Linked DNA regions of Macaca mulatta. The protein of the gene in region 1 interacts with the protein of each later gene in a pairwise test. Links are inferred from orthologs where the notes say so. Each region holds a gene or a part of one and is shown in the gene's direction. Other genes may lie near its edges.

Region 1 (4,623 bases):
AGACAATGAATTCAGTAACAAATACATGTAAGAATTATTGAGTGCCTAGTATGTAGTAAATGCAAATCTAAGAGCTTTATGTATCATATCTCATTTCATCCCCACAAGAGTTCTATGAAGTAGCCTGTGATTATCCCCATTTTACAGATGTGAAAACAGAGTCTGAAATCACTGGCCCGTAGTGGTGGGATTTGAACCCAGACAATGTGTCCAGAGCCCACTTAGCCACTAATGACCAACTGAGTAAAATGCGTACAGGAGACAACAGTGCATTTATCATAGTGAAAATATGAAAGGCTCAACGACACTATTTCCTCTCAGATGACTTAGTTGAAAGCTCTGATCTCCTACATTTTCTGAGTTTGGGAGAAAGATGGGGAAGAAAGATAAGAGCCATCACAGTATTAACTGTTTTGTTTTGTTTTTTTCTTGTCTTGATCTGACAAGAATTTTATACATCACTGATCTATTTAATTTTCTTAACAAATTACATTTTTTGGGGTTACTTTAGGCATTTCCCAGATACTTTCCAAATGATTCTTACCACACCAATGTGAGGATGTTAAAGGTGAACATTATTCCTACTGGCATGTGTGGAAAAACAGAGGCACGAGGAGGCCGTGGGGCTTGCCCAAGGTCCTGTCAGTTACTCCAGAGTGGACATTAAACCATGGCTTTCTGAATCGTAGCTCAATTCGCCATGCACTGGCAGCACTGTCTCATGTCTACCATAAGCATAAGTCTTTCATGTGCTGGGAGGCAAAAGTGAGCCTTCTTGTTCTCTTTTAGGTGTGTGGATGGCTCCTAGATCTCGACTTGCTCCTGAGGAAATACTGTGTGACTGAGTTTCCTGTTATACTGCTCTCCAATCGACCATGAACCAGCCAGAGTCTGCCAATGACCCTGAAGCCCTGTGTGCCGTGTGCGGCCAAGCCCACTCCCTGGAGGAAAACCACTTCTACAGCTACCCGGAGGATGTGGATGATGACCTCATCTGCCACATCTGCCTGCAGGCTTTGCTGGACCCCCTGGACACTCCATGTGGACACACCTACTGCACCCTCTGCCTCACCAACTTCCTGGTGGAGAAGGACTTCTGCCCCATGGACCGCAAGTCTCTGGTTCTGCAGCACTGCAAGAAGTCCAGCATCCTGGTCAACAAACTCCTCAACAAGCTGCTGGTGACCTGCCCATTTAGGGAGCACTGCGCCCAGGTATTGCAGCGCTGCGACCTCGAGCATCACTTTCAAACCAGGTAGGTCCCTCACCAGTGAGCTGGGAAGCCCCGCCCCCAAGGGGGACAGCTGGACCCCTCCACCCCCCAGTCTCCTGAGGGGTTGCAACCAACAAAATGATCCATTCAAAATACAAAAACACATAGGTGTTTATGGTCATGGTTCAGTGTGAGGAAATAGCATTTGGTGGAGTTGTGTTGTGTGTGTGTGTTTATGGGATTTTTTTTTTAATTGTAATAAAATGTAACATAAAGTTTACCATTTTTAACCACTATGAGTATACAGTTCAGTGGTATTAAGTACTTTCATGTATTGTGCAACTATCACCACCATCCATCTCTAGAAATTTTTCATCTTCCATAATGGAAACTCCATATTCATTAAACACAAACTCCCCATTCCACCTTCCCCCAGTCCCTGGCAGCCACCATTCCACTTTTTGTCTCCATGAATATGCTCTAAGTGCTTCATGTCAATGACATCATATGGTATTTGTCTTCTTGCGACCAGCTCATCTCATGTGTGTATGTTGTGAAATGTGAAATATGCCAGAGAGGGCATATGAGCAGCTTTCTCTGAGGCTCATGGGTCCCAGAAGTATTTCCTGATAGGCGCTGCTTGCTTTTTCACTTACGGAAAAAAAGGTGCCCCAGTTTGACCCTTGATTATTAGAATTTCCTCTATATTGGAATTGACAAGGCACAACTGTCCTTTGAGAAGGTGTGAGGTGTTCTCAATTAAGTTTTAAAAGGAGAAATTTAGGAAATTTTTGTCCTCCAAGCAATTTGTTCTGCTAACTTTGTGGCCAAGTTGCTAAGTTGTGCATGCACGCACACACCCACCCACACACCGCACCCACACTGGTGGCAGAATTCTGGTGTGATTGCCGCTGCTGATGGCTAACATCACCTGTTCCATCTGGCTGCCTCTTATTTTGTCCACTTACATTGTCATGTCCCTGGGTATGAGAACATTTAAAGTGCTTAATAAAGGGTGAACGATCATACCACAATTATTTTGTAACAGGAAATTTGGAAGCTGGTGTTTATCCTGGTTCCTGTCTTGACAAGGGCAGGAGGCAGGTGCAGGTATTTTTTTTTTTAAAGGTTACATACCTTAGGTCATGAATCTGAGTCTTTGTCTTTTGGGACTTGCATGTATTCTCTAACATGGAAGTTTGCATCAAAAGCAATGGCCTGGGTGTAATGCTTAGCATGTGTTTGCCATACTCATTATGTCAGTGAATTCATTTTTCTCCCCAAGATATTGAGCCAGATGCTTCTACCTCAGGTTTTTGGGTTGCAGCTGTTATTGCTGGTGTTTAAACTAGGATGCCCTGCCTCCCTCATTCCTCAGAAGTAGATGTGGTTAAAGGAGGAATAGGTAGGGTAGTCTATTTGTGACCTTTGCTGAAAGTTTTGCCTAGGTATGAGAGACGTTGGTGGGAAAGAAGTAGGTCTGGAGTCAAAGGCGAGGTAGATGCCAACAGGAGTTGGCACAGAGCCATGTTCAAGAGTGGGGCCACACTGGGCAGGGGGATGAGGGGAACAAGGAGGAGAAAGAGCCCAGTAGAGCTCCCTCCACCCTCACCATGGTCCCGTGTTCCTGGTATGTTGCAGCTGTACATTTGTGCTGGGGAGCTGTGTTCATTTCTTGTTGCTGCTGTAACAAATCACAAACTTAGTGACTTAAAACAAACCAAATTACTGGGTGCACTGGCTCACACCTGTAATCCTAGCACTTTGAGAGGCTGAGGCAGGAGGATCACTTGAGTCCAGGATCTTGAGACCAGCCTGGAAAACATAGCAAGACCCCATCTCTATAAAAAATTTAAAAATTAGACCTGGTGGTGTGTGCCTGCAGTTTTAGTGATTCAGGAGGCTAAGGTGGGAGGATTGCTTGAGCCTGGGAGTTGAGGTTGAAGTGAGCTGTGATGTGCCACTGCACTCCAGCCTAAGTGACAAAGAGAGACTGTCTCAAAAAAAGAAAAAACAAATTTGTTATCATACAGTTTTGAGGGTCAGAAGTCTAACATATGTCTCGGTGGACTAACATTGAGGTGTCAGCAGGGTGGCATTCCTGTTGGCTTCAGGGCAGAATCCCTTTCCTTGCCTCTTCCAGCTTCTAGTGCTGCCTATCTTCCTTGGCTCATGGCCCCTTCTTCCATCTTCAGAGCCAGCCGCATAGCATCTTCCAGGCTCTCTCTGGCTTCTGCTTCCATCCTCACATCTCCTTCTGTGACTCTGAGCCTCCTGCCTCCCTCCTATAAGAACTCATGTGATTACCTTGGGCCAACCTGGATAATCCAAGATGGCTCCTTCATCTCAAGATTCTTCATTTATGTGGGGCATGGAGGCTCACACCTGTAATCCCAGCACTTTGGGAGGTGGAGGCGGGCAGATCACTTGAGATCAGGAGTTTGAGACCAATTTGGCTAACATAGTGAAACCCTGTCTCTACTAAAAATATAAAAATTAGCTAGGCATGGTGGCCTAAGCCTACAATCCCAGCTACTTGGGAGGCTGAGGCATGAGAATCACTTGAACCCGGGAGGCAGAGGCTGCCGTAAGCCAAGATTGCACCACTGCACTCCAGCCTGGGCAACAGAGCAAGACTCCATCTCAAAAAAAAAAGAAAAAAAAAAGATTCTTAATTACATCTGCAAAGTCCCTTTTGCCATATGAAGTGATATACTCAGAGGTTCTGAAGATTAGGAGATGGACATCTTTGGGGAATAATTATTCTGCCCACCCCAGGAGTAAGAGTGGGGAGAGAGAAGACAGTATTGGAGGCATCCTCTGGGGAGAAAGTCAAAACCCAGCCACTCCTCCTCATTCCCTCATCCAGGACTGTTTTGGGGCTGAGAGTGCTTCTAAAAATAGGGAGAAGATGGATCCGAGGGTTAGGCCAGAAGGGAGGTGGGGAAGGGGAAGGGCTAGGAGGAGACTGTCGGAAATCTGTGAGGTCTTCAGGAGAAAGATGATACAGGTACCCCTCAGCTGCCTGAAGCAGACTGGGAATTTCATTCACCCTTAGCCCATGCAGCCTGTGTGACCCACACACACCTCAAGGAAGGCCGAGATAGAGTCTTGAAGAACACTCAGCTGATAATGAGATGCATGTTTGGAAAACGGCAGTGAGGAGAGAACCCAAAACTGAAAGTGAGTCACCTTTTTAAGTTGCACCCTCTGAGTGAGTCCTTCACAGGCGCCCACAGCAGCTCTCTGGAGAGGACGCCCCCACATCAGGGAGGCGTGGGCCTCAACACATGCTCTCAAGACTCCACACTTCTGCTTCCTAAGTAGGTTGAAAACATTTCCAAAAATATGTTGTATGTATTAGTCACCATATGCCTAATATATACAGTCCTTCGCCTCCCACCCCCTGG
Region 2 (4,623 bases), on another chromosome or scaffold:
CAAGCCATGTATTCAACAAAGGACTTGTATCTAGAATGGAGAAAGAATTCCTAAAACCCAACAGTAAAAAATCAAACAATTCAATTAGAAAATGGGCAAGGGCTGCCTCACACCTGTAGTCCCAGCACTTTGAGAGGCTGAGGTGGTTGGATTGCTTGAGCCCAGGAGTTCAAAACTGGCCTGGGCAACGTGGCAAAAACCCTGTCTCTACCAAAAAAATACAAAAGTTGGCTGGGTGTGGTGGCACATGCCTGTAGTCCCAGCTACTTGGGGGAGCTGATGTGGGAGGATCACCTCAGCCTGGGAGGTCAAGGTTGCAGTGAGCTGTGATCATGCCACTGAATTCTAGCCTGGGTGACACAGTGAGACGTGAGACCCTATCTCAAAAAAAAAAAAAAAAAAATGCCAGGTGCAGTGGCTTATGCCTGTAATCCCAGCACTTTGGGGGGCCAAGGTGGGTTGATCACCTGAGGTTGGGAGTTCGAGACCAGCCTGACCAATATGGAGAAACCTCGTCTCTATTAAAAATACAAAATTAGCTGGATATGGTGGCGTATGCCTGTAATCCCAGCTACTCGGGAGGCTGAGGCAGGAGAATTGCTTGAACCCGGGAGGTGGAGGTTGCGGTGAGCCGAGATCATGCCATTGCACTCCATCCTAGGCAACGCTCCGTCTCAAAAAAAAAAAAAAAAATCAACACTATTAACTATTAGGGAAATACAAATTAAAAACACAATGAGCTATTATTACATACCTATCAGAAAGACTAAAATAAAAAAATAGTGATAATACCAAATGATGAGGATGTGGAAACACTGGACTACTCATATATACATTGCTACTGGAAATGTAAAATGGCATAGTCACTCTGGAAAATAGTTTGGTAGTTTCTTATAAAATTAATAATGCCTTTACCATACCACCCAGCAATTGTATTCTTGGGCATTTATCCCAACGATGTGAAAACTTGGGTTTATACAAAAACCTGTAAAAAATGCTTTATAGCAGTTTTATTCACAATAGCCCCAAAGTGGAAACAACCAAATGGCCTTCAGTGGATGAATGGTTAAATAAAGTGTGGTACATCCATACCATGGAATACTTTTTAGCAATAAAAAGGAATGAACTATCCATATATGCAACAACTGGGATGGATCTCAAGGGAATGATGCTGAGTGACAAAAGCCAATTGCAGGGCCGGGCACAGTGGCTCATGTCTGTAATCCCAGCACTTTGGGAGGTTGTATTGGGCAGATCACTTGAGGTCAGGGGTTCAAGACCAGTCTGCCTAACATGGCGAAACCCCGTCTCTACTAAAAAATACAAAAATTAGCCAGGTGTTTTGGTGGGCACCTGTAATCCCAGGTACTCGGGAGGCTGAGAGAGGAGAATTGCTTGAACCTGGGAGGTGGAGGTTGCAGTGAGCTGAGATTGCACCACTGCACTCCAGCCTGGGCAACAGAGTAAAACTCCGAAACTCCGTCTCAAAAAAAAAAAAAAAAAAAAAGAAAAAGGAAAAAAAAAGCCAATCACAAAGGTTACATAGTGTATAATTCTATGTACATAACTTTGTTCTTGAAATAACATAATAGAGATTAGTGGTTGTCAGGGGTTGGGGATTGGGGTGACTGGGAGGAATGTAGCTATAAAAGAGTAGCAGGAGGATGACTTATAGTGATGGAAATGTTCTGTATCTTGATTATAGCGGTTGTGTAAATCTACATATGTGATAAAATGGCACAGAACTAGACACATCGTACGTGCTTGAATGCTAGGAACATTGGTGAAATCTGAATAAGCTCTGTGGATAGTACCAACATCAGTTTGCTACTTGTGATATACTATAGTACTTTCTTTCTTTTTTTAAGGAGAAAAGGGTCTTGCTATGTTGCCTGGTCTAGACTTGAACTCCTGGACTCAAGTGATCCTCTCACCTTAGCTTCCCAAGTAACTGGGACTATAGGCCCCTGACTAGTACAATACATTTTGTAGTACAATTGTTATTATTAAGGGAAACCAGGTGAAAGGTTCATGGACTTTTTGCAACTTCCTGGGAATCTATAATTATCTCAAAGTTGTTTTTTTTTTGTTGTTTGGTTTTGTTTTGTTTTTTGAGACGGAGTCTTGCTCTGTCAACAGGCTGGAGTGCAGTGGCGCGATCTTGGCTCACTGCAACCTCCGCCTCCTGGGTTCAAGCGATTCTCCTGCCTCTGCGTCTCAAGTAGCTAGGACTACAGGTGCATGCCACCATCAAAGTTTTTTTAAAAACAAAACAAAACAAAAACACAAATTTTGGGAAATGCTATCAAGGAAACCCACAAACGGCTGGGCCTGGTGGCTCACGCCTGTAATTGTAGCACTGTGGGAGGCCGAGGCAGGTGGATCACTTGAGGTCAGGAGTTTGAGACCAGCCTGGCCAACATGGTGAAACCCCATCTCTAATTAAAAAAATTAGTCAGGAGGCCGGGCGCGGTGGCTCACGCCTGTAATCCCAGCACTTTGGGAGGCCGAGGCGGGCGGATCACAAGGTCAGGAGATCGAGACCATCCTGGCTAACACTGTGAAACCCCGTCTCTATTAAAAATGCAAAAAATTAGCCGGGCGAGGCGGCGGGCGCCTGTAGTCCCAGCTACTCGGGAGGCTGAGGCAGGAGAATGGCGTGAACCCGGGAGGCGGAGCTTGCAGTGAGCCGAGATCGCGCCACTGCACTCCAGCCTGGGCGACTAAGCCAGACTCTGTCTCAAAAAAAAAAAAAAAAAAAAAAAAATTAGTCAGGGATAGTGGCGGGCGTCTGTAATCCCAGCTACTTGGGAGGCTGAGGCAGGAGAATCACTTGAGCCTGGGAGGTGGAGGTTGCAGTGAGTAGAGATCATGCCACTGCTCTCCAGCACTCCAGCCTGGACAACAGAGAGAGACTCCATTTCAAAAAAAATAATAATAAATAAAAGGAAACCCACAGGGCCTGAGATGAAAAAAAATGAAAGGAGGACCTTCTGATGGGGTGAAGAGGCCTCTCTGGAAAGCTGATCTTTAAGAATGGAGGGATGAAGAGAGACCAGAGAAGGAACATTGGGGCATTCCCTCTTTCCCAGAAGAAAACATCAGGAGAAGCCTCCTGGCCAGTGATGTTCAAAGACAGAACCAGTGCTTGAAAGGAATGTCTTGGCCGGGCGCGGTGGCTCAAGCCTGTAATCCCAGCACTTTGGGAGGCCGAGGCGGGTGGATCACGAGGTCAGGAGATCAAGACCATCCTGGCTAACATGGTGAAACCCCGTCTCTACTAAAAATACAAAAAACTAGCCGGGCGTGGTGGCGGGCGCCTGTAGTCCCAGCTACTCGGAGGCTGAGGCAGGAGAATGGCGTGAACCTGGGAGGCGGAGCTTGCAGTGAGCCGAGATCGCGCCACTGCACTCCAGCCTGGGTGACGCAGCGCGAGACTCCGTCTCAAAAAAAAAAAAAAAAAAAAAGAAAAAAAAAAGAAAGGAATGTCTTACTTTTCTTCTTGGTACCTTTTCCCCTCTCTTCCTACTAACCTCTTGTGTTGATTTTCTTCTTTTTTGCCATCAGCCTGGACAAACTGCTTGATGCTGGTCTTTATACTGGAGAAGTGACTGAAATTGTAGGAGGCCCAGGTAGCGGCAAAACTCAGGTACACGTGAGGCCCGCAGTCAGGAGGATTTGAGGGTGAGGGTGGTAGGTGCATAGCCCAGGATCCCTGGGGGAGCTTCAGCATACTGATGAGTTCAGAGCCCAACAGAGAGAAGATGGGTGATGAGGAATGGGGCTTGGACTCAGCGCATTTGTGTTGCTGGAATCTGGGCAAGGTTTGGTGGGGAGCTCCCATTCTGGACCCTCTCTGAAGTGTCAAGTTCATCCAATGCCCCCACCCCCAGGTATGTCTATGTGTGGCAGCAAATGTGGCCCATGGCCTGCAGCAAAACATCCTGTATGTAGATTCTAATGGAGGGCTGACAGCTTCCCGCCTCCTCCAGCTGCTTCAGACTAAAACCCAGGATGAGGAGGAACAGGTAAGGGGCAGGATGCTGGGTTCCATTGAGATTCTGACACAAGAAAACCCCATTACCCCTTAACATTGTAAGAATTTGGGTTGAATAGTCATTCCTTGCCTTCAAACTTGCTGTTCTGTTAATACATCCCGTATTCCTTAAGCCACCCCTGTTGATACCATCATCCTATTTGGGATGCTACTCGCACCGATTCTTCCAGAAAACCCTCCCAGCTCTGTGCATGCCCTAAACCAGGGCTGGTAAACACCGAGCTTTGTGTTTCCAGTCCATTTCTCGCCCATGAGAAGCATCACTAATCAGTCATATCCCTCTTTCCTCCTGAGTTTGAGTACTTTACAGCTCAGCACCCAGGCAGCCACCACCATGACAACTGGCCCATTAGACAAAGCTCATTTGCCACCCTGGACCTGAATCCTTGAATCCAGGTGCCTCTTCCTTCTCAGCCTTACCTCGACCCCCTACTCCCTCTTATCCAAAGCCCTTGCTTCTCTTTTCCACCCCTTCAGGCAGAAGCTCTCCAGAGGATCCAGGTGGTGCATGCGTTTGACATCTTCCAGATGCTGGATGTGCTGCAGGAGCTCCGAGGCACTGTGGC
Region 3 (5,167 bases), on another chromosome or scaffold:
GAACAAGCATCTGTCTGAGTGTCTGTTTTCAACTCCTTTGGGTAGGCACCCAGGAAGACAGTTGCTGGACCACAGGATAATTCTACGCTTAACTTTTTGAGGAGCCACCAGGCTGCGTCCCACAGCAGGCACCTTGCTGATATTTTCATGCACCTCAGCTCTGCAATCTGCACTGCTGGGCACCTCGACCTGAGTGAGTCTGAGGAGCACGGTGCTCTAGAGCTGCTGGCTCTCCCAGGGGCTCCTTGATGGGGCTGCTGTTGCCTCTGCCTGCCCCAGGGCTGCTGCTGCTGGAAGCTGAGACTCATCCTCATTTTCCACACAATCACAGGCAGGAAGGGGACTGCATGGGACATGCGAAGATGCGCACTTACCCTGGGCCCCTCGTGCACCAGAGGAAGAGGCCTGCCTGGCTGTGGGGTGGGGTGGGGCCAGCTTCTGGGCTGGGTGCTCTGGTTGGTAAACTCTGGCTTCTGGGACACCAGGAGGAATGGCTAAAGCGGGGAGACACAGGCCCCTGTAGAGCTACTGGGGCGGTGACAGCTGGACTTGGATGCTGGCTTCATGACCGTGTTCCCCAGCGTTCCCACCTGGTGATACCCCTTCCCTGGAATCTGCGGGTAGCCCAGGACTTTCTGACCCACAGGATGCAGTAGGAATGACACCATATGACATCTGAGGCCAGGTCACACAAAGCCTGGCAGCTTGGCCCGGCCTAGTGAACGTGCTCTGGAAGGAGCCAGCTGCTACCGGAGAATCCGACTACCCTGAGACCACCAGGCTTCGGGGAAGCCCACACCAGCCACAAGGGAGGCCAGCTGGCCCTGGCTGTTCCAGCCACCCAACTGAGGGCCAGGGGTGAAGAGGCCATCCTGGACGGTCCACCCCGTTTGGCCTTCAGACGACTCCAGCCCCAGCTGCCACCTGATTACAACTGCAGAGAGACCCCAAGGCAGGGCTGCCTGGCTGAGCTGGGCGATCCATAGGCCAGGCAATAAAGGGGCACTTTAAGGCATTAAGCTTTGGAGTGTTTCGTTACACAGCAATAGTGAACAAGGATCTGGGAGTCTATTTCAAGCCCACATGGCCAGTCCACCCTGAGCCTGTTCCCCTGGGCCATAGTTCAGAAAGCAGGTGCAGGTCAGGGTTCAGGGCCAGTGTGGGCCTTAGCTCCCTTGCCTCAATATTGTTTCCAGCCCCTGTGGAGGCCGTGGTGGCATTTGGAGGGGGTCCTTGGAATCCATGCCCAAGGAAGAACTGCAGCTGCCTGGGACCCTTCCACACCCAGGAAGGACCGTCATCAAGGTAGAACTTGCAGGAGGAGGGAAGGGCAGCTGGCTTTTGAGTGGAGGAGGGACAGCTGCAGAGACAGCGTGGCAGCTCCCAGCCACCCTGGACACCAGCAACCTCGAGGGGAAGCCCCCTTGGCCCAAGCTTTGGCCCCTCCCGCGCCCCACTCTCCTCTCCCCTGGCTTCTTTCCAGGGCCCTCTCTCTGGCCTCCCGTGACTCTCTTCCTGGGCCCAGTCCCTCCCTCCCTGGGGCGCTGCTCCGCCCCCGGCCCCGCCCGCGGACCCCTGGAGTAACTTAATCTCAGGGTTGTGGTTCATCCCCAGAGGCACCCCAAACGGGCAGGCTCTTGGCTCCAACCACCTCCAGGCCCTCCCTCCCCCAGCCAAGAGGTCCCTAGTCCCACCCAAGCACTGTACCCCGGTCCGGCTGGCCCCGCCCGGCGGCCGGGGTCGACCCAGCCAGTCCTTCCTCTGCGCGACGCCCACGTGCCTGCACGGCTCCCCTGGCACCGCGGAGACCGGCGCCCCCAGGCGCGCAGCACCCGACAGGTGGCACCTGCGAGCCCCGCCCACCTCGGCCGCCCCGCCCCGCCCCGCCCCGCCCCGCGCACCCACGGAGCATGCTCAGAGCCGCCGTCACGCGCGCGCCCGAAAGCTCCCGTCCTGCCAGGGCGCTGCCCCGGGTTGGTCCCCACTGCGGTCGGGACCCCCGCCTGTCCTGGCGCCGCCATGGACCGCATCGAGGGAGCGTCCGTGGGCCGCTGCGCCGCCTCACCCTACCTGCGGCCGCTCACGCTGCATTACCGCCAGGTGAGCCCGCGTCCCCGCGCCCTCCGCGTCCCCCGTGTCCCCGCCGGCGGCCCAGCCCACGACCCGCGTCCCGCCCACCGCCTTCTGCGCTGCGGGCCCCGCCCCGGAGCCCCGCCCCCGACTCCCGCCGAGCTCCGGGTCGGCCCCTTCTCCGCCCGCCGGATCGCGGGTTCCCCGACCCAGTGAGCCCCCAGGCCGGGGAGGGGCCGCAGGAGGGACATCTGAGGGGACACCACTCATCCTTTCAAGGAAGCATTGCTGGGCCCTATCCTTCCCGTCCCCGGAATCCGACCCTTTTGGCAGTGGGACTCCTTGGTTGCCCTGGGGATCAGGGAAGGCTTCCTGGAAATGGTGGCTTTCATGCTGCAACTTGAAGGAGGAGATAGCTGGGCCGAGGAGGAAGGAGCAAGGAGTGCAGAGGGTGGAAGCAGGGAGGTAGGAGAAGGAGCTGAGTGAGAATTTGAGCGAGTCTCAAAGTGGGCTTCCTCCTTGGGGTTTTTTCCAGGGAGGGCACCTCCTTGGAGTCTCCATCTGCCTAAGCTCAGCCTTCCCCACCTCCTAGGGTGTCACATTCTCCCATGCCAGGCCCCGACACGAGGGGCTGTGTTGCCTCACTTGGCACCAGGCACATGGTAGGTTCACAAGGAATATTTTGTTTTGTTTTGTTTTTGAGACAGGGTCTTGCTCTGTTTCCCAGGCTGGAGTGCAGTGGCATGATCACAGCTCACTGTAGCCTCAACCTCCTGGGCTCAAGCGATCCTCCTGCCTCAGCCCCTGCCCCGGTAGCTGGGACCACAGGTGCACACCACCACACCCGGCTGATTTTTAAATTTTTTTGTAGAGACGAGGTCTCACTGCTGCCCAAGCTGGTCTTGAACTCCTGGCCTCGAACTCTTGGCCTCTGAAAGCATGGGGATTACAGGCATGAGGCATATGTGTTGGGTGAAGGAGCTACTGCCATCCTCTTCCCACATCCAGTGGATCACTGAGTCCCAGCCTGTCTTCCTCTAAGCCCAGCCCTGTCCGGTTTGGGCCCCACCTTTTGCTTGCATGCCTGCCTGCCCCCAGCAGATCTCCCCTCTGCCAGAGCTCCTGCATGCCATTTAGGCAAAGACTGCCTTCCTGGCCACAGTCAGTCCAGCGCCCCCAGCCTCTCATCAGGTCAGGTGGTCCAGGTCGCCGTGCCCCTCTGCTTGCCTGCCTCCCTCAGGGGGCATCCTGTCCCCCCCATCACATCCAGGATGCTGCCCCTCACCATCCTTGTGAAGCCCTCTTAGCCCCCAGCCTGAGAGAGGCCCTGTGCCCCTCACTTTCCCTGTGGCGGGAGTCCTGTTGGCTCTCCCCAAGGCAAAGCTAAGCTGGTGGTGCTGGCGGGGGGCAGCTGGGATCAGTCGAGGTACAGCAGGTGGGGACATGGGGTCACTGCCCTTTTCCCTGATGGCCACATGGGATGCCTGCTTGTGGCCGCACAGTCCCCACAGGGCTGGGCCTCAGGCAGCAGGTACAGGGCAGCCCAGGCAGGTGCCCTCTGTGGCCCTGGTGGCAGCACTCTCTCCCTCACTTCCAGTGAAGCGCTCAGGGCAGCCCTCGCAGCCTCAGCGTGCAGCCCACTGGCACAGCTCTGCTGAGGGGCTCTGGTAACCAGAGCTGAGCTGGTGTGGGCCGTGGCTGTGGTGGACACGGATGCAGGCTCAGGGCGGGCGGCGTCTTCTCAGGGCCAAGGGACATTGGGTTGGACCTTGGCCGCCACCCAGGGACAGCTGCAGCCCTCAGCTTTTTGCTGCATCCAGCCAGGGGAGGCCTGTGATGTCAGGCAGACCAAAGGCGGGGGACCCCCATGGCTCTGAGGTGATGGGGCTTTGTTTGCACCCAGCCCTGCCCCTCTTTCCCAGGCCTCAGTGGCCTCCCTGAACCTTCCTGCACCTTGACCTGGCTGGACCTAAGGGTCTGACACACTTTTGACCTTGAGCTGAGAGGGTCCTTGAGACCTGCATGGGGTGATGTTACTCAGGGGGAAGCAGTGGTGGGGAGGGGGCATGGGCATAGCAGGCACATGGCAGGCTGTGGGCAGGGGGCTTCCCTGAAGCCTGCCCTGGCTGGGTGGCTGGCTCTGGGGTGGCTGGATGTCAGGCAGGCCTGGGCTCGCCTCCCGGGAGTGGTACCCCACGGCCTCTTGGGCATCCTGACCTGCGCGGGACACTGGCCCTCCCTTCCCTTGGAAATGGGCACTCTCCTCCCAGGACGCCTTTGCCTGCCAGCCAAGCTCAGAGGGCCTCTGTGCCTCTGCCTGCCCAGAATCCCTTCCCTCACTTCCGTCACCTCTTCCAGGAAGTCCTCAGGAAGGCTTCTTCCCTCTTCTGCAGTCCTGGCTGCACTTCCTGTGTCTGCCGCTCAGGCTCTGTCCATTTCACAGCCTGGGCAGAGCCCCCAGGGTGGGATGAGCAGCTCACCTGGGCCTCGGAGTGGCAGATGGGCTGAGCTCGCCGGAGATGGGACCCCGTGGGACCCCAGGCCCAGCCCCCAGGATGGGAGTGCATCTCAGAATCCGTCAGTTCCAGCCTCCCCCAGCAGGCCCAGCCCACACACCTGCCCACCCAGGGTGCAGGGGCCTGCCAGGGCGGCGTGCCCAGCGTGTGGAGGGGGAAGGTGGAGGGTGGCCACAGGAGAACAGGACCACAGGGTGTGTGGGAGAGCCACGGCCAGAAACTGGGGATGGGAGGGTGGGAGGCGGGGCCCAGCCCGGTCACCATCACAACAGTCACAGAGTCCTGCAGTGCCATCTCCTACCTGGCTGGGGCGCCACCCTGCCCTGCCCCATCCACTCCTGGTGCTGGCCCCTCCTGCCCTCCCGTCTCCCCCTGTTCAGTGGCCCAAGGAAGCTTCAGCAGGAAAACCTGGTCTCCTCTGCCTGGGGTCCCTCCCTGCCCTGCTGTGAGGGGTCCTGCCTGCCTCCCTGAGCCTCCCTGAGCCTCCATGAGCCTTCCTATACTTGGTGACAGTGTGCGTCTCTCTGCAGCCCCTTGTGCCCGGTCTGTGCTGGGCAGTGTTTCATGGGGTGCCTGGATAC
Region 4 (3,426 bases), on another chromosome or scaffold:
GAACTCCTAGGCCCAAGTGATCCTCCTGCCTTAGCCTCCCAAGCAGCTAGGACGGCTAGCTACATGGCACACACACCGTGCCCAGATAAGTTTATTTTTAATGGAGACAGAGTCTCACCGTGCCCAGGCTGGTCTCAAACTCCTGGGCTCAAGTGATCCTACTGCCTCAGCCTCCCAAAGTGCTGGGATTACAGGTGTGACCCACCACACTTCGCCCAATTTCCTGAGTTTTATAACTGTGCTTATGTAAAAAAGTGGCCTTGTTTTGGGGAAGTATACACTGAAATTAAAATTTAAGAGTAAAAAGGCATTGTATCTCCAACTTTCTCTCAAATGGTTCAGAAAGAAAATGTTAAAGCAAATGGAGGGGAAATATACCTGGTGACTCTAGGTGAAGGAAATGTCTGTTAAGTTTACAATTATATAGAAAGGGAAGGAGAGAAGTATGACTCCTGAGAGTCTCTGCAACACTTCTAGACCCACTGTCGGTGGCAGGCAGGGCCACCCCACACAGAGCATTGCACAGGCCACCATGAGCCTGCTAGCATGTGTGGTCAGTCAGCGCTTGGTCAAATATGGGCAACTTGATCTATCAAATGCCAGTTCATGAAAATGTTGGTTTTTTGCTCTTTTTCTCCTTTCCCAGCTGAAAATGTAGCCAAAAAATGGCAAGTGAGTAGAGAAGATCAGGACAAGGTTGCAGTTCTGTCTCAGAATAGGACAGAGAATGCACAGAAAGCTGGCCATTTTGACAAAGAGATTGTACCAGTTTTGGTGTCATCTAGAAAAGGTGAGTATATTATAATGGTTTAATTAAACATCAACCTATTTATAGGTAAGAGTAACATCTAAAAGAGTAATACGTAGGAATCTTTAGAAATTATATCTTAGTTATATTTTTCAGGTTGCAAAGATATGTCCTGGATACATGAAGGTAGGGAGGGGGTATGCTGGGTTTACAGGACACGGTAACATGGGAACTGTGTCAGCGCTCAGGCACCCTTGGTTCCAGAGTGTCCATGACTGCTGTGCACATACAGCAGGTTTCATGAGACACTGGAGCACTGGCTCATGGTTGTTAGGAGGCACCAGCTGACCTGTTTCCTGTATAGGCTCAACCTCCTCAGAAGTGGACACCCATTACTTCTCGCTGCTTCTGTGTGATCTCCCTTTCCCATTTCTAAAGGGTGGATCTTTTGGGGTCACTTGCTATTTTCTAATACAGAGTGCTTCCATCAAGCTCCCTTATTGATAACTGACATCTCTTATGGCCAGCCAGCAGTGCAGGATTGACTTTGAGACTCCCTGATCCACTCACTTGTAACCAGTCAAGTACTATGACCCAAACCATAGCAGAATTTGGCACAAACAGGTCCCTGGTAGCTACTTTCCTCAGGAAGGCCTATGGATTTGAAAAACACAGGTGTCTTATAAGGACATACTCATACATTGTTTTCATGTACAATAATTCTTGTGTGTACTTTCCTCCTGTTGTAATCAAAGTGGTTATATATTAAAACTTTTCTGCTAAATATGAATCCTCATGTTTCATGTCAGAGAAACCCACCATTCCCAGCACACTTCTGTCCCTGGACTAATCTTGAGTAATTGGTTTTCCTTTGTTTAGGTGTTATTGAAGTTAAAACAGATGAGTTTCCTCGCCACGGGAGCAACATAGAAGACATGTCCAAGCTAAAGCCTTACTTTCTTACCGATGGAACGGGAACCGTCACCCCAGCCAATGCTTCAGGTTAGATTTTCTGAAGGAAATACTTCATCTGGGGGAATACTACGTTCTATAAGGTCTACCAAGTGAATATTTTTCTCTTTATTTATATACAAAAGTACTGTTTTTTTGAGACAGGGACTCACTCTGCCAGCCAGGCTGGAGTGCAGCAATATGATCTTTGCTCACTTGCAGTCTCAAACTCCTGGCTGGGCTCAAGTGAGCCCCTGCCTTAACCTCCCAAGTAGCTGGGGGACTACAGGCATGAGCCACCACACCCAACTCATATTTATATACAAAATTATTCTTAAAACAGTTTAAGGAAACATATCATTTCTCTGTATTTGATCATTGACTTAACCTATACTGAAAGAATTAATTTGGTTTCTTGACATCCCAACTAGACTTGCAAATGAAGAAGTAAATTAGGGAACTTGTTTATCTACCTTTGTATTTTTCCAATACCAGAAACTCCCAATACTTCCTTGTGAGGCCCGGGCTTATTCTTCCATTTCCTGTCAGAGATCTCTCCTCCCCAACTGCTGTAATTTTTTTTTTTTATATATATAATTTTTTTTTCTTTTTTTTTTTTGGAGACGGAGTCTTGCTCTGTCGCCCAGGCTGGAGTGCAGTTGCGCAATCTTGGCTCACTGCAACATCAGCCTCCCAGCATCAAGCAATTCTCCTGTCTCAGCCTCCTGAGTGGCTGGGACTACAGGCGCACGCCACCACGCTGGCTAATTTTTCTATTTTCAGTAGAGACAGGTTTCACCATATTGGCCAGGCTGGTCTCAAACTCCTGACCTTGGGTGATCCATTCTTCTCCACCTCCCAAAGTGCTGGGATAACAGGCGTGAGCCACCACGCCCAGCCCTGACTACTATAATCCTATCACTTTCTCTAGTTGGAAAGTTTTGTGGTCACTCTAATTGCCAAACATGATTTCTGTGTATAAAGTCTGTTCAGTTACAGTAAATGCCTTAGCCAACAGGTAAAACCATTTAGCTCATGTCTTCAGGTGGTAAAGACACAGATATGTAACTGAAGTTAATAAGCACTGTAGAAATCAAGTCACTCATATTTTACAGGAATAAATGATGGTGCTGCAGCTGTGGTTCTTATGAAGAAGTCAGAAGCTGATAAACGTGGGCTTACACCTTTAGCACAAATAGTTTCCTGGTCCCAGGTGGGTGTGGAGCCTTCCATTATGGGAATAGGACCAATTCCAGCCATAAAGCAAGCTGTGAGTATAACCCTGTTCCCCTTTATGAAATTTGTCTTCCTGTTAGCCTTAAATGAGCTTATTCATGTAGTTACCTTTCCCTACCAGAACAGTAACCAAGAGCATTTATTTCTATTTTTGACACAAGGTCTTGCTCTGTTGTCCAGGCTGGAGTGCAGTGGCATCACCACAGCTCACTGCAGACTCAAAACTCCTGGGCTCAAATATTCCTCCTGCCTCAGCTCCCCAAGTTACCTTGAACTACAGGTGCACCACCATGCCTAACTTCTTAATTTTGTAGAGACAAGGTCTCACTATGTTGCCCAGGCTAGTTTTGAACTTCTCAGTTCAAGTGATCCTCTGGCCTTAGGCTCCCCAAGTGTTGAGATTTCAGGTGTGAGCCACTACCCCCAGCCACTGAAAGCATTTAGATCATATGCTTTTTAGGGGAACTGATTCTGTTACATTACCCTTAAAT
Region 5 (4,037 bases), on another chromosome or scaffold:
TTACATACTGTTGGTGGGAGTATGAATTAGTTTAACCATTGTGGAAAGCAATGTGGCGATTCCTCAAAGAGCTGAAAACAAAACTACCATTCCACCCAGCAATCCTATGACTGGGTATATACCCAAAGGAATATAAATTATTCTATCATAAAGGTACATGCACACATATGTTCATTGTAGTACTATTCAAGAGAGCAAAGGCATAGAATCAACCTAAATGTCTATCAACAGTAGACTGGATAACAAAAACGTGGCACATATATATCATGGAATACTATGCAGCCATAAAAAAGATGATACCCTTTTCAGGAACATGGATGGGACTGGAGGCCATTATTCTTGGCAAACTAACATAAAAACAGAAAACCAAATACCACATGTTCTCACTTATAAGTGGGAGCTAAATGATGGGAACACATGGACACATATAGGGGAACAATAGACACTGGGGCCTTTTAGAAAGTGGAAGGTGGGAGGAAGGAGAGGGTCAGGAAAAATAACTAATAGGTACCAGGCTTAATACCTGGGTGATAAAATAATCTGTACAACAAACCCCCATGACACGAGTTTACCTATATAACAAACCTGCACATATACTTCTGTACTTAAAATAAAGGTTAAAAAAAAGAAGCCTCAAGGAATCTTATAAAAAACATTTGTGCTACCTCAAGGCTTTAAGTCACTGAAATTCACTGTGAACTGGATTAGGATCTTACGGGAGGGGCGGAAGTAAAGCTTTTCAGAAATCCAAACCTGACTCAGCCAGTGTAGTAGAAACAAAACAAAAGTAATATACAAAGCGTTAAATTGAAAGTCATGGTTTCAAATAAGGAAAGATCCTAGCTACTCCAGATTTTCTCTAAGAAGTTCTTTTCTGGATTCCTTTTAGTGCCTGAATGAAAGATCCTTTGATGCTTTTGTCATCCTCATTTTTCTCCTAATGTACCGTCCTGAAAACAATCTATTTCAACAAATTTGAGAGGGCTTTAAAAATAAAAAAAAAAGTGTAATGAAAAATATACCATTCAAAAGAGCAGCAACATTCAAAATGTACCTAAAAAGAACATTAACAAAAACATACACTCTATCAAAGCAAATATAAAAGTTTACTGATAGACTCAGATGGATGCCTAAGTAGAGCAATACAATATATTTATACGTGGTGAACATAATATTGTACAGATGTCAATTATCTTTATTTACAGATTTAGTACCTTATTTGATGGCCTCAAGTCAGCAGAGAAGTGGCCCTGTACCTATAAAAAGTCACGATAAGACACTGAGTGAGGACTGAGGGCGTTACCTACCCAAGAAGAGGGACTCCCACAGACCCCGCCCCTACTGTCAATCTTGGGAGGCCCCAGGCATGGCTGCTAGGCTCACGCTCCACTTTACTTCCTACTCTGAACTCAGGGAAATGATCCTTTTTCTGAGGCTGACTGATTCAGCTTAGCAAAGAGAGAAGTCCCAGTGCCTGCAAAGTCAGTGAAAGAAATATATGTATTTCTTTAAGAACTGCCCCTCCCCCAGAACACAGAACCATTTGCTGTTATGCTGGGAGAGCAAGGTGGGCGTGGCCGGAAGTGTTTCTCTTGACCTATATTCCACGTCATCAAGCTGTTACGGGCGAAGCCTTGGTCTGAAAGATGTGGCCAGAGAAATAAATTTCAGGATCCGGCAGGTGTCAAAGTGAGTATCGTTTGTTATGACCTTCGAGACACACTTTTCCCAGAACAGAGGCGGCCTCATAGAGACCCATCCTTCTCTGCTCTGTCCTGCTCCCACCGTCAACTGTGTGTGTCCCAAAGCGCAGCTGTTAGGCCTAATACCCTTACTTCCTGTTGGGAATCTGTGGGATGGGAAGCCATGGTCTAAAGCGAGGCAGCCTCAAGTCAACAGAGGGAGGACTCAAAGGACTAAAGTAAAATTAATATCCTGAGTTAGAACTGATGTGATAAACCCCCACAGAACAGTCCCAGCCTGCTCCTGCCTTATGGGTTCCTAAAGCAATACCCTCAAGAGAACCAGCAGAGGTGGCCATTCTTAGACCAAGGTAGAATCTCCCTACCAAGGCTGTGAACACTATCTTATCCTCCGTCTTCTAGGGTGACCTCTTCATCAACCCAACTGCCTGCACTATTGTCTGTAGTCCCTGACAAGAGTAATTATGCCTCGAGGTCAGAAAAGTAAGCTCCGTGCCCGTGAGAAACGCCACCAGGCTCGTTGTGAGAATCAGGATCTGGGTGCTACTCAGGCCCCTGTGGCAGAAGGAGAGTCGTCCTCCTCTGCCAATCTTCTCTTTGGTGATAGACCCCAGAATTTGCCTGCTGCTGAGACACTTAGCATCCCTGAGGCGCTTCAGGGAGCCCCATCCACCACCAATACTATTGCACCTGTTTCATGCACCAGTTCAAATGAAGGTGCCAGCAACCAAGACGAGAAAAGTCTAGGTTCCTCAAGGGAAGCTGAGGGCTGGCAAGAAGATCCCTTAAGCAAGAAAGTAGTGTCGCTGGTGCATTTCTTGCTTCAGAAGTATGAAAAGAAAGAGCCAATTACAAAGGGAGATATGATAAAGTTTGTTATCAGAAAGGATAAGGGTCACTTCAATGAGATCCTCAAGAGAGCCTCTGAGCACATAGAGCTGGCATTTGGTGTTGATTTGAAGGAAGTGGATCCCATCAGGCACTACTATGCCTTTTTCAGCAAACTAGACCTCACCTATGATGAAACAACCAGTGATGAAGAAAAAATTCCCAAGACTGGCCTCCTGATGATTGCACTGGGTGTGATCTTCATGAATGGCAACCGTGCCCCAGAAGAGGCAGTTTGGGAAATTATGAATGTGATGGGTGTATATGCTGATAGGAAGCACTTCCTCTATGGGGATCCCAGGAAGGTCATGACCAAAGATTTGGTGCAGCTAAAGTACCTGGAGTACCAGCAAGTGCCCGACAGTGATCCTCCACGCTATGAATTCCTGTGGGGTCCAAGAGCTCACGCTGAAACTAGCAAGATGAAAGTCCTGGAGTTTGTAGCCAAGATGCATGATACCGTCCCTAGTGCCTTCCCATCCTGCTATGAAGAAGCTTTGAGGGATGAGGAACAGAGAGCCCAAGCCAGAGTTGCAGCCAGGGCTCATACTGCTGCCATGGCAAATGCACGTTCCAGAACCACGTCTAGCAGCTTCTCCCATGCTAAGTGAAATCTGAGGTTGGTTCTTCACTTTTTGGTCGAAAAGGTCTGTCAACATTCTAATAGTGGAGGGCCATGGTGGGGCTGGAAGAAATAAGCGTATATCATCTTTGCGTTCCTATTGTATATTGATAAGTAGAGTTTTACTTTTCCTTCTTTTTTTTTTTCCCTAGGTTACATTTCAAATGTTGAAGTCTGAAGAAGATTGTTTTCTTTGTGGAAGAAAAAAGCAATCAACATTCTAAGTAGTGAATGGCCAGGGTGGGTCTGGAGGGAACACAGCATATATCATGTTGTGTTAATATTCTATAGTAACTTGGAGTTGTATCTTTTTCTTTCTTTTTTTTTTTTTGGTGTTATATTTCAAATGTTGTTTCTTTTAATAGAAGTTTTAGATTACTTCAGAATCGAAATTTATTAATGACTTTGGTTACACATGTATTGCTATTTAAGAGTAGGAGTTTTATTGTTCTGTAAAACAAATTGGGAAACCTTCTTTCATATTTAATGAGCCAAAACAAGGAAACACAGTATTGGAATAGGTATTTCCTTAAAAAATGTGAAATGATTTAGCAGTAAAATTTTGGAGATCAAAACATAGGTGAGAAAAAGTAATACTTTTTAGTTCTTGGTTTTCTTTATCCATTTTATTCTGTTATATAAAGATAAAAGAGTCATACCTGGATTGGCTTAGCTTACTGAAGAAGGTAGGAAAAAATAAAATGTTTATGAACTAGCATCTATGCTTACTGCCTCATTCATTCCTCCAATATTAATAAAACATCTGATCTTTGAAAGTAATTTTGTTAGAAATGGGAAAACTAGGATACAAAACACCCAGCCCT
Region 6 (3,778 bases), on another chromosome or scaffold:
TGGTTATCTATAACTAAGTCTTATTCTATGAATGGAATCCCAACTTCCACAACTTTCCGCATATACTGTTTATCAGGGGACATGTTACTTACCATAGAAATTAGTTTTCCTAAAATTAAACTCTGATCTCCTTGTTTGGAATGTTTTCCTCTCTTTTATCCAGAAGTCAAAAGATATATCCATTTCTAAAGGACCTTACATGCCTCTATGACATCAAAAAGCCTTCATTCACTCAATAAACATTTACCACCAGTGTTCTCTGTGCTGAGTATCATGGTAACAAAAAGAAATGTCATAGGCCATGCCTTCAGGGTATTTGCATTGCATATGGGGAATGACAGAAGTAAATGACTATGATACAGTAGAATGTATCAAATTATGAGCACAAGGGAGGAAATAATGATAAATGTATGGTGTAGCTTATCAGGAAAAAATTATTGAGGAGGAAATATTTTAACTGGTTTTGACACATGAGTAGGAGTTTGCAGAATGAACAAAAAAAAATGAAACATTCCAAGAAGATGAAACAGTTTCAGCAAGTTTGGCAAATTTTATTCTTTACCTCTTTCTTGGCTACCCTAAGACATATTAGGCTTACTTTCTCTTTAATCTTCGACACGTTTTTTGTTTGTTTGTTTGTTTGTTTTAGCTTTTTAATGCTTCTTTTGCGTACTCTGCTAAAAGAGTAATAAGAATGTACACTACTTTATAAGGTTGTATTAAAGAGTGAAAATGAAATAAATATAAGATGTTTAGCACAATGTCTGGTACGTAGTCAAAACTTCACAAGTAATATACATACCTTGAGGGTGTATGGAACTTATCCACATACTATACATTTTTATTGTAGTTGTTTAATGAACATAATTGTGATTCCTTTCATTTTTGCCAAATTCTGTTTCTTATACATGTGTCTTATACAAGTACCTGCAGGAAAAAGATGAGGGTTTATCCGTTCTATACCCAGAGTACCCAACAGAATGTCTTGGATGCACATTATTGAAGGCTTAATAATTATAAACATTGTCTACATATAACAAATGCTTTTGTCAAATAGAAATTCATCATGCAATTTTGATGATCAAAGATAAAACTTCCTACTCCTAATGCCTATACTGTAAGACATATACAAAAATGTGTTTTTACTCCTTAAAGGCAATGAGTCATGGCTAAGTACTTTCACTTGAAGTGGTGGAATAAGATCTGACACAGAGTTTATAACTTCCTTGGGATCTGACCATCTCCTCAACCGTTCAAGAAGCATACACGGAATCAGAGTCATCTTCATTACAGGTGGGACATCCTTCTCCCGAATGAGTCCTTCCTTCTAACTCCTTTCCGACATCTCATCTGACCAGGACATTCTTTGACAACAAAAGATACATTCACATTATAAAAAGTGTCCCCCATGATTTGTAGAGAGCTATCTACAGGTAGGAGGGAGAATCACATTTAGAAATAAAGTGTCAGAGTCATGTGTCCAGCGGTTTGTAAAAGACACTGCATAGACCAGGGACAAAGGTGACCCCCACTAGGGAAGAAATATGACAAGTGTTTCCAATAGAAACACAGGAGCACAGCAGGAAAAGGAAATGGGTTATTTTTTGAATATTTAAATGGGTTAGTTTTGGAGTATTTAACTAGAAACACACAATGATGTAATTACATGATTAAGTTTTCCACGAGGTAAATAATAACAAGGAAATAATGACGTGGTGGCAATGGGCCTTCAGCAGGGTATAAAGGAGGCTATGGACCCAGAAGACTTCCAAACACAAGAACTTCAATCTCTTGGAAACCCACCCAGATCCTCCCCGTTCTGACACCATGGTCAACTCCTGTTGTGGCTCCGTGTGCTCTGACCAGGGCTGCTGCCAAGACCTCTGCCAGGAGACCTGCTGCAGCCCAAACTGCTGTCAGACCACCTGCTGCAGGACCACGTGCTGTCGCCCCAGCTGCTGTGTGTCCAGCTGCTGCAGGCCCCAGTGCTGCCAGTCTGTGTGCTGTCAGCCCAGCTGCTGCCGCCCCAGCTGCTGTCAGACCACCTGCTGCAGGACCACCTGCTGCCGCCCCAGCTGCTGTGTGTCCAGCTGCTGCAGGCCCCAGTGCTGCCAGTCTGTGTGCTGTCAGCCCAGCTGCTGCCACCCCAGCTGCTGTCAGACCACCTGCTGCAGGACCACCTGCTGCCGCCCCAGCTGCTGTGTGTCCAGCTGCTGCAGGCCCCAGTGCTGCCAGTCTGTGTGCTGTCAGCCCACCTGCTGCCGCCCCAGCTGCTGTCAGACCACCTGCTGCAGGACCACCTGCTGCCGCCCCAGCTGCTGTGTGTCCAGCTGCTGCAGGCCCCAGTGCTGCCAGTCTGTGTGCTGCCAGCCCACCTGCTGCCGCCCCAGCTGCTGCATCTCCAGCTGCTGCCGCCCCTCTTGCTGTGAATCCAGCTGCTGCCGCCCCTGCTGCTGCCTGCGTCCAGTCTGTGGCCGAGTCTCCTGCCACACCACTTGCTATCGCCCAACCTGTGTCATCTCCACCTGCCCCCGCCCCTTGTGCTGCGCCTCCTCTTGCTGCTGAGCCCCCTGCCCTGCTTCACCTCCCCCTTCACTGCTGGCCCACAGATGCAGACCCTTCTACTATGCTGGCTATTAGGACACATGGAGTGGGGTTGATGTCATTCAATAGGATGGACCTCATGTTTCCAATGAGCCCATCACCATTTCACTGACTCTGAGAATATTCTGGTTCATTTTAAGCTCCCTCCCTTGCTTTCTTTTTCTTCCAGTGGTAGCACCAAATAGAAATTAATTTGTAATCCACTAACTAAGAAATTATTCCAATCCTCTAATTTCCTTATTTTCTTTATCACTTTGAGGTAGAGATTCTCCTTCTCAGTGAGGTAGACGTTATCTGCAGGCTCAGTTTTGTCACTGATGTTGCACCCTCAGACCCAGGGGCCCAGTTATATTCTGTGTTTCTCCTAGTGTGAATTTCTTATGCTTTGTAGCATCTCTGCTTTCTAATAAACTTTTCTGCACGTAAGAATTCATTGGTATCATTCTCTATTGCTTTCATAATTATTTTACTGATTCCCTAGCAATTATATTTTACACAAAGATACAGGAAGAGCAACCCATGTTGAAATCACTTTGAAGATACATGCTATATAAAATATACATAATTTAAGGTATTGGAATAAAAGTGCTGTGTGTATATGTGTATGTGTGTGTTTGTGGGTGTGCACAGGTGTTTTAATATCCTAAATTAAGACAGATTTAATTCATGCCTTAGCTCTTGAAACACATTTTATCTTTAACACGTTATATCTAATTGTCATACTATTGTCCCTATTTTGACAAAAAAAGATAAAACCAAATTTCTGAAAAGTAGACACCAATGAAAGAAGGGAAATCTTCTATAAAGAATTTAATGTACTCAATTCATTTCACTCAATAAACAACATTTTGGAATTTATTATTAAAAAGTGGACTTTATTTCCCAGTGAGTTCTGCTGAGAAAAAAAAGCATATTGAGCTGTATTTCATCTGGATAGCATGAAACGATATCTATTCTGACTGTGGTCTCTACAGGTTTATGTTATAATTTAAACATCTCCACACTTAACATTTTAACATATATAAACCCAGCAAGGCTGAAAATTTCAAGACTCACTTTTGTTTTTAAGAATCATTTTATTGGAATTAGTTCATAGCTTTGAGCAGGTCGCAGCTGGGGTGCATATCCTAATTAGAATTCCCAAGAGTGGTGCCTTCATTTGAATCTGAAGTAA
Region 7 (4,623 bases), on another chromosome or scaffold:
GTTAAATGGGAGTACTGGAATTAGCTAATAGGGCTGCTGAGTATCTGAGGAGCTATTGCACGCTCGGGCAATTAGCACAGAGCCTCCCCTCAAGTGGTTTTTGTATCTTTCCTTTCCCTCCGATGCAGATCGACCTTGCCATCGATGGTGCTGATGAAGTAGATGCTGATCTCAATCTCATCAAGGGCGGCGGGTGAGTGTGGTGGGGGCTTCTGTGCTAAAGAGTATCTGCCAGTTAATCCTTAGCAAAGCAAGATGGATACAGAATAAACAAATTGCCACTGTGACGTATGCAAGTTTGGCTTTCTCCTGGGATATTAATAGCATATGGCCTTGGACCCAACTCAGCATTTCTGGTCATTAGCAGCAATTTAGTGACGAGGAACCTGCGCCTCTTTAGTGAGATCATTCGTCATAATGGATTCCCTGTGGATCTGTGTTCTTTTGTTGATTCAGACTTTAAAAACGTAAGGCCATATCAAAATAATATTGGCTAGATTATTAGGTCTGTGGGCACCAGTGTGTGACTTTTGCTTTGAAGCTGTGCTTACCTCTGTGAGCAGTTAGGGATATTATTTGTTCCTTTGGAAGACATTAATTGGGTATTTCTTAAGTGCTGATTTGGGGAGTGGTAGAAATGGTGAGTTGAAAAAGGTGAAATCCTGTTCTGCTGGCTCTTATAATCAAGCAGACTATGGAGTGATGTGGCATTTGTTTAAAATCACACTTTACTGTTTATTAGATTTCCTTATGTGTTATTTAATCATGTCAACTGCAGATGTGAGATAATTTAGCTGCTGAACCGTAGAGGTAGACCTGGACCCAAATCTGCTGATTCAGTGCTCTGGGCTGTCTCCACTTCATCACCCTCATTGGCAAATAGTCGATTGGGCAGGTTGTTCAAAGCATGCCCTCAGCTTCTAGACCCTCCCATTCATGCCATGTCCAGATGACGTCTCCCTGTACACAATGCTTCCTCTCAGATGCATTTGGATGGAATTATGCCTGGCCTGAATGGGAACCTTGTCTGCTTTCTAGGTTTCTTTCAGACACAGGGTAATGTTTCTAGAGTCCATTTACTAGGAGCAGCATGATGGGACTGGGGATGTCCCTTTGAAAATTAAAAGTTAAGTTTCTTTTTAAGTGCCAGGATTGAGTGGATTTGGGATTCCTGTATGTGACCTTAGTTCCCAAACTGAGATTTTTGTCTTACTCCTGTGTTCCTTTGCTTCCTTCCTATCTGCAGAGGCTGCCTGACCCAGGAGAAGATTGTGGCTGGCTATGCTAGTCGCTTCATCGTGATCGCTGATTTCAGGTAGTTTCTGGTGTCTGAACTGCCAACTAAGGAGGTAGATTGGAGCCCTAGGCCTCATCCTCATTTTTGTGAAGGGGGAAATGGAGAGCTGCAGGGACTCTCTGACTTTCTGAGACTGATTGCTAGGACTTAGTACAGTGTCTGGGAGACTTTATGTTCTGCTTCTAGGCTGAAGGTAGATGTTGCTAATCACACCACTGTTATCTGCAGCCAGGATCTCTAGCATTATTTCACGTGTTCAGTGGAACGGGGAAACAGCTTTTCACCCTGTTAGCAGATCGTGCTCTCATGTGTCATGTCACTCACTGGATCCTCACAGGGAGCCTCAGGGTGTGCCCTGCCCACGGGCAGTGACTCAGCATGCCCTGCTTCTTCTCAGGTCAGGGTTTGCCGCAGGTGACTGGTGTCATTGATAGTCTTTGGCCAGGCTCTCAGATGAGCATCTGAGAGGAATCTGGTCAAAAGCACTGTGCTGAGCATGTTAATTTCAAATATGTGCATGTGTGTATTTGCTTGTGAAATGTAGCCACAGGATGAGCATAAATATTAAACACCTACATACCTACAAGCCAGCAATATCAGATTTTAACATTTTTGTCATATGTATTTCAAATAGCTCTTTTCCTATATAGTGAAACAGCTAATTCATTTGAAGCCCTGTGTATACTGCCTCTGATCACTTTCCTTGCCTTCCTACCACCTAATTAACCCTATTCCTGAATTTGGTGTTTGCCTGTACTATTGAACTTATTTACTTTTATTTCACTTTTTGACTCCTCCTTTCCAGGAAAGATTCGAAGAATCTCGGGGATCAGTGGCACAAGGGAATCCCCATCGAAGTCATCCCAATGGCCTATGTCCCAGTGAGCCGAGCTGTGAGCCAGAAGTTTGGGGGCGTGGTTGAACTTCGAATGGCTGTCAACAAGGCTGTGAGTGGCCTGATTGGGCCGGGAGTGTCCTGGGTGCACTCAGGTTTTCAGTGTGGTGTGCTCCCTTCTGTTCCAGTTAGGTTCTCTGTGCCTCCACCAGGCAATTGGCTTTTATTTATTTTTAATTGATGTGTTTGTTTATTTTCAGAGAGTTGGCCCTGTTAGTTTCTGCATTCAAACTCTTGTAGACAAGACCACACTTAATACAGTGCATCTCCTTTGTACAGATGGGGGAATGATTCTTTCTCTGTGCCTCAGGTTCTGACATCCCACAGGTGATCTGACCTTTGTGCCTGAGGCCTGGAACACCCTGATTGGCAGCTGTGAAACACTGGCTTTGGGAACCCGTTTGAAGCAGAAAGTTTTTTAGGTTCCACGGTGTAACTTCTTTTCTCCCTCTTCTTTCCTCTCATTCTGTGGTTAAATGTGACAAGAAGTAGAATTTCCTGGGTTGTGTGAACTCTTCCCCAGGAACACACTCCAGATGGTCCAGATTTTTCATGTTTCTCTTTAGCTTCTAAAGTGGATTGCACAGAACTTTTCCCTCTTTTTGTACTTAAATAAGCAAGCAAAGAGCAATCCAGAAGCTAACCCCAGTTACATGTGTAACTACATAAACACTTTGGAGGATAGCGAAAAGATCTGTCACCCTACCCTGATACATTTTTATTTTAATATACTTTGTCCCCGGTGTTTCTGTGACTTTTAAAAAAACCGTAGTTCTATTCCTAGTGGTTGTACGGTGCTCTGACTGACGTTCATATTGTTGGCGCGTGAAAGAAATGCAGCACAAAATGGAGAAGTCGTTCGACCTTGACCCTGTCAGAGTTCTTATTTGAAAGCCACGTTGCTGCTAGTGTTCTTATTGTCTTTTGGATTCTGTTTCTTGCCCTTTTTCTTATTGGCCCAGTAGTAACTTAAGGAAGCAGATAAGAACAATAAATTTTGGACTAAAGGAAGTAAGAACAATGAACCAGAAATCAGATAGGAATGTGGTGATAATTGTGACATGTTCACATAGTCATAGTGGGAGCTCATGTGAGTAAAAATAGCTTGATACATTTGTTAAGAGGCTTGTATTCTCTCTCTACAAAGACTACAATCTAAGTCTGATTTCAAAGCCCCTGCTTATTACCACTTCACAGCACACCTTCTAAGAAAGCATAAAGTGGGAGCTGGTTAAAATGCATACATGTCTTTTGTTGTGCCCTCTACTTTCCTGTCCTTCTCTGCCTACCTGTATCTGCATCCTTGGTCATTGTGGAAAATTATCTTCTAGGGTCCTGTGGTGACAGATAATGGGAATTTTATCTTGGACTGGAAGTTTGACCGGGTACACAAATGGAGTGAAGTGAACACAGCTATCAAAATGATCCCAGGTAACATGAGTGGCATTCAACAGGCATGTACACCCCCATGCCCTTCATAACTGGCCCCTACATCTGGCTAGGGAAAGCACAATGGACATGGGCTTTGTAAGGCTTGGTTGGAAAGAAGAATTCCCTTTATACTATGTTTGGGTTTTTAACTTCACCTCCTTTGCCGTATTCCCTTCCCCTAACAATTGTTGCTTACCTAGCACCTTTGTTGCTTGTGCATTTCACAGCCTGTTTGAGTTGGGATAATCCTGAAGCTGACGGAAGTTCAGAGGGGACTTGCCTTGAAATAAGGTTATCATCTCTGGGTAGAACCTTTCCTTCCAGGAGCTGGACTGCAGCCTCTTTTTGTGGACTCTCTTAAGCATGGGGGAAAATAACTCAGTTAATCCATATTCATTGGATGCATGCCGAAGGCAAGATGTTGTGCTGTGTGTTACAGGGGATACTTCAATTTGGAGGACTTGTAATCTGTCCTTAAGGAGAATTGATGTAAACCTGTGGAAATCTGTGTGTATGTGTAGAAGCCATGCCTACAAATAAGATAGAATGTGCTAAATTCTACTAGAGGAATACCAAGAGTCTAGAGTGCACAAAAAGGTTCTTTTTGGCAGAATGCGAGGATGTTTTATGGTGTAGAGGTGGTTTTTCACCCGTGCCTTGGCATAGCATAAGTTAGACATGGTGCTAAGTGTCTAAAAATGTTTCCTTTGATTCCTGCTTTGATGAGGTAGTTATAGAGGAGGACACTGGCTGAGGAAGGTTAAGCTGTTTGCCCAAAGACAGCACCAGGATGGGCACCCTAAGTTGTCTGCCACTAGACCCCAAATGTTTAATGCTTACTTGCTGAAGCACCAGGTGAGGAGAGTCTGTGTGAAATGAACATTTAGAGCCTTAGGGAGCCTCTAATGCAGCTGTGCCAGGGAATGATGGAATAAGAGCCAGGATGGGGCCCTGTGTGAAGGATAGGTGGGCAGTGTAGAGATGAGTTATGAGGCTGGAG

The links.
Region 2: the proteins of LNX1 (region 1) and RAD51D interact in binary tests that used the Homo sapiens proteins (3 or more experiments, as listed by UniProt). The two-hybrid records come from large-scale screens. The link is inferred for Macaca mulatta from reciprocal best matches to the Homo sapiens genes LNX1 and RAD51D.
Region 3: the proteins of LNX1 (region 1) and NUDT14 interact in binary tests that used the Homo sapiens proteins (3 or more experiments, as listed by UniProt). The two-hybrid records come from large-scale screens. The link is inferred for Macaca mulatta from reciprocal best matches to the Homo sapiens genes LNX1 and NUDT14.
Region 4: the proteins of LNX1 (region 1) and ACAT2 interact in binary tests that used the Homo sapiens proteins (3 or more experiments, as listed by UniProt). The two-hybrid records come from large-scale screens. The link is inferred for Macaca mulatta from reciprocal best matches to the Homo sapiens genes LNX1 and ACAT2.
Region 5: the proteins of LNX1 (region 1) and MAGEB18 interact in binary tests that used the Homo sapiens proteins (3 or more experiments, as listed by UniProt). The link is inferred for Macaca mulatta from reciprocal best matches to the Homo sapiens genes LNX1 and MAGEB18.
Region 6: the proteins of LNX1 (region 1) and uncharacterized protein LOC703872 interact in a two-hybrid assay, tested with the Homo sapiens proteins (2 studies listed by BioGRID and IntAct). The link is inferred for Macaca mulatta from reciprocal best matches to the Homo sapiens genes LNX1 and KRTAP4-12.
Region 7: the proteins of LNX1 (region 1) and RPIA interact in binary tests that used the Homo sapiens proteins (3 or more experiments, as listed by UniProt). The link is inferred for Macaca mulatta from reciprocal best matches to the Homo sapiens genes LNX1 and RPIA.

The regions. Positions count from the first base shown.
Region 1 is NC_133410.1:79,936,523-79,941,145, forward strand, and holds part of LNX1 (E3 ubiquitin-protein ligase LNX), read left to right. Parts: intron 1-789; 5' UTR 790-875; coding exon 876-1,255; intron 1,256-4,623.
Region 2 is NC_133421.1:44,628,079-44,632,701, reverse strand, and holds part of RAD51D (DNA repair protein RAD51 homolog 4), read left to right. Parts: intron 1-3,567; coding exon 3,568-3,649; intron 3,650-3,893; coding exon 3,894-4,028; intron 4,029-4,534; coding exon 4,535-4,623. UniProt on the Homo sapiens protein: Involved in the homologous recombination repair (HRR) pathway of double-stranded DNA breaks arising during DNA replication or induced by DNA-damaging agents. Bind to single-stranded DNA (ssDNA) and has DNA-dependent ATPase activity.
Region 3 is NC_133412.1:178,605,906-178,611,072, reverse strand, and holds the start of NUDT14 (uridine diphosphate glucose pyrophosphatase NUDT14), read left to right. Parts: upstream 1-1,916; 5' UTR 1,917-2,019; coding exon 2,020-2,100; intron 2,101-5,167. UniProt on the Homo sapiens protein: Hydrolyzes UDP-glucose to glucose 1-phosphate and UMP and ADP-ribose to ribose 5-phosphate and AMP. The physiological substrate is probably UDP-glucose. Poor activity on other substrates such as ADP-glucose, CDP-glucose, GDP-glucose and GDP-mannose.
Region 4 is NC_133409.1:12,235,609-12,239,034, reverse strand, and holds part of ACAT2 (acetyl-CoA acetyltransferase, cytosolic), read left to right. Parts: intron 1-646; coding exon 647-790; exon of another isoform or gene 791-793; intron 794-1,627; coding exon 1,628-1,750; exon of another isoform or gene 1,751-1,751; intron 1,752-2,814; coding exon 2,815-2,969; exon of another isoform or gene 2,970-2,971; intron 2,972-3,426. UniProt on the Homo sapiens protein: Involved in the biosynthetic pathway of cholesterol.
Region 5 is NC_133426.1:25,968,551-25,972,587, forward strand, and holds MAGEB18 (melanoma-associated antigen B18), read left to right. Parts: upstream 1-2,117; 5' UTR 2,118-2,167; coding exon 2,168-3,202; 3' UTR 3,203-3,237; downstream 3,238-4,037. UniProt on the Homo sapiens protein: May enhance ubiquitin ligase activity of RING-type zinc finger-containing E3 ubiquitin-protein ligases. Proposed to act through recruitment and/or stabilization of the Ubl-conjugating enzyme (E2) at the E3:substrate complex.
Region 6 is NC_133421.1:65,465,850-65,469,627, forward strand, and holds uncharacterized protein LOC703872, read left to right. Parts: upstream 1-1,649; 5' UTR 1,650-1,827; coding exon 1,828-2,565; 3' UTR 2,566-2,637; downstream 2,638-3,778. UniProt on the Homo sapiens protein: In the hair cortex, hair keratin intermediate filaments are embedded in an interfilamentous matrix, consisting of hair keratin-associated proteins (KRTAP), which are essential for the formation of a rigid and resistant hair shaft through their extensive disulfide bond cross-linking with abundant cysteine residues of hair keratins.
Region 7 is NC_133418.1:25,384,011-25,388,633, reverse strand, and holds part of RPIA (ribose-5-phosphate isomerase), read left to right. Parts: intron 1-128; coding exon 129-193; intron 194-1,246; coding exon 1,247-1,315; intron 1,316-2,102; coding exon 2,103-2,244; exon of another isoform or gene 2,245-2,614; intron 2,615-3,523; coding exon 3,524-3,623; intron 3,624-4,623. UniProt on the Homo sapiens protein: Catalyzes the reversible conversion of ribose-5-phosphate to ribulose 5-phosphate and participates in the first step of the non-oxidative branch of the pentose phosphate pathway.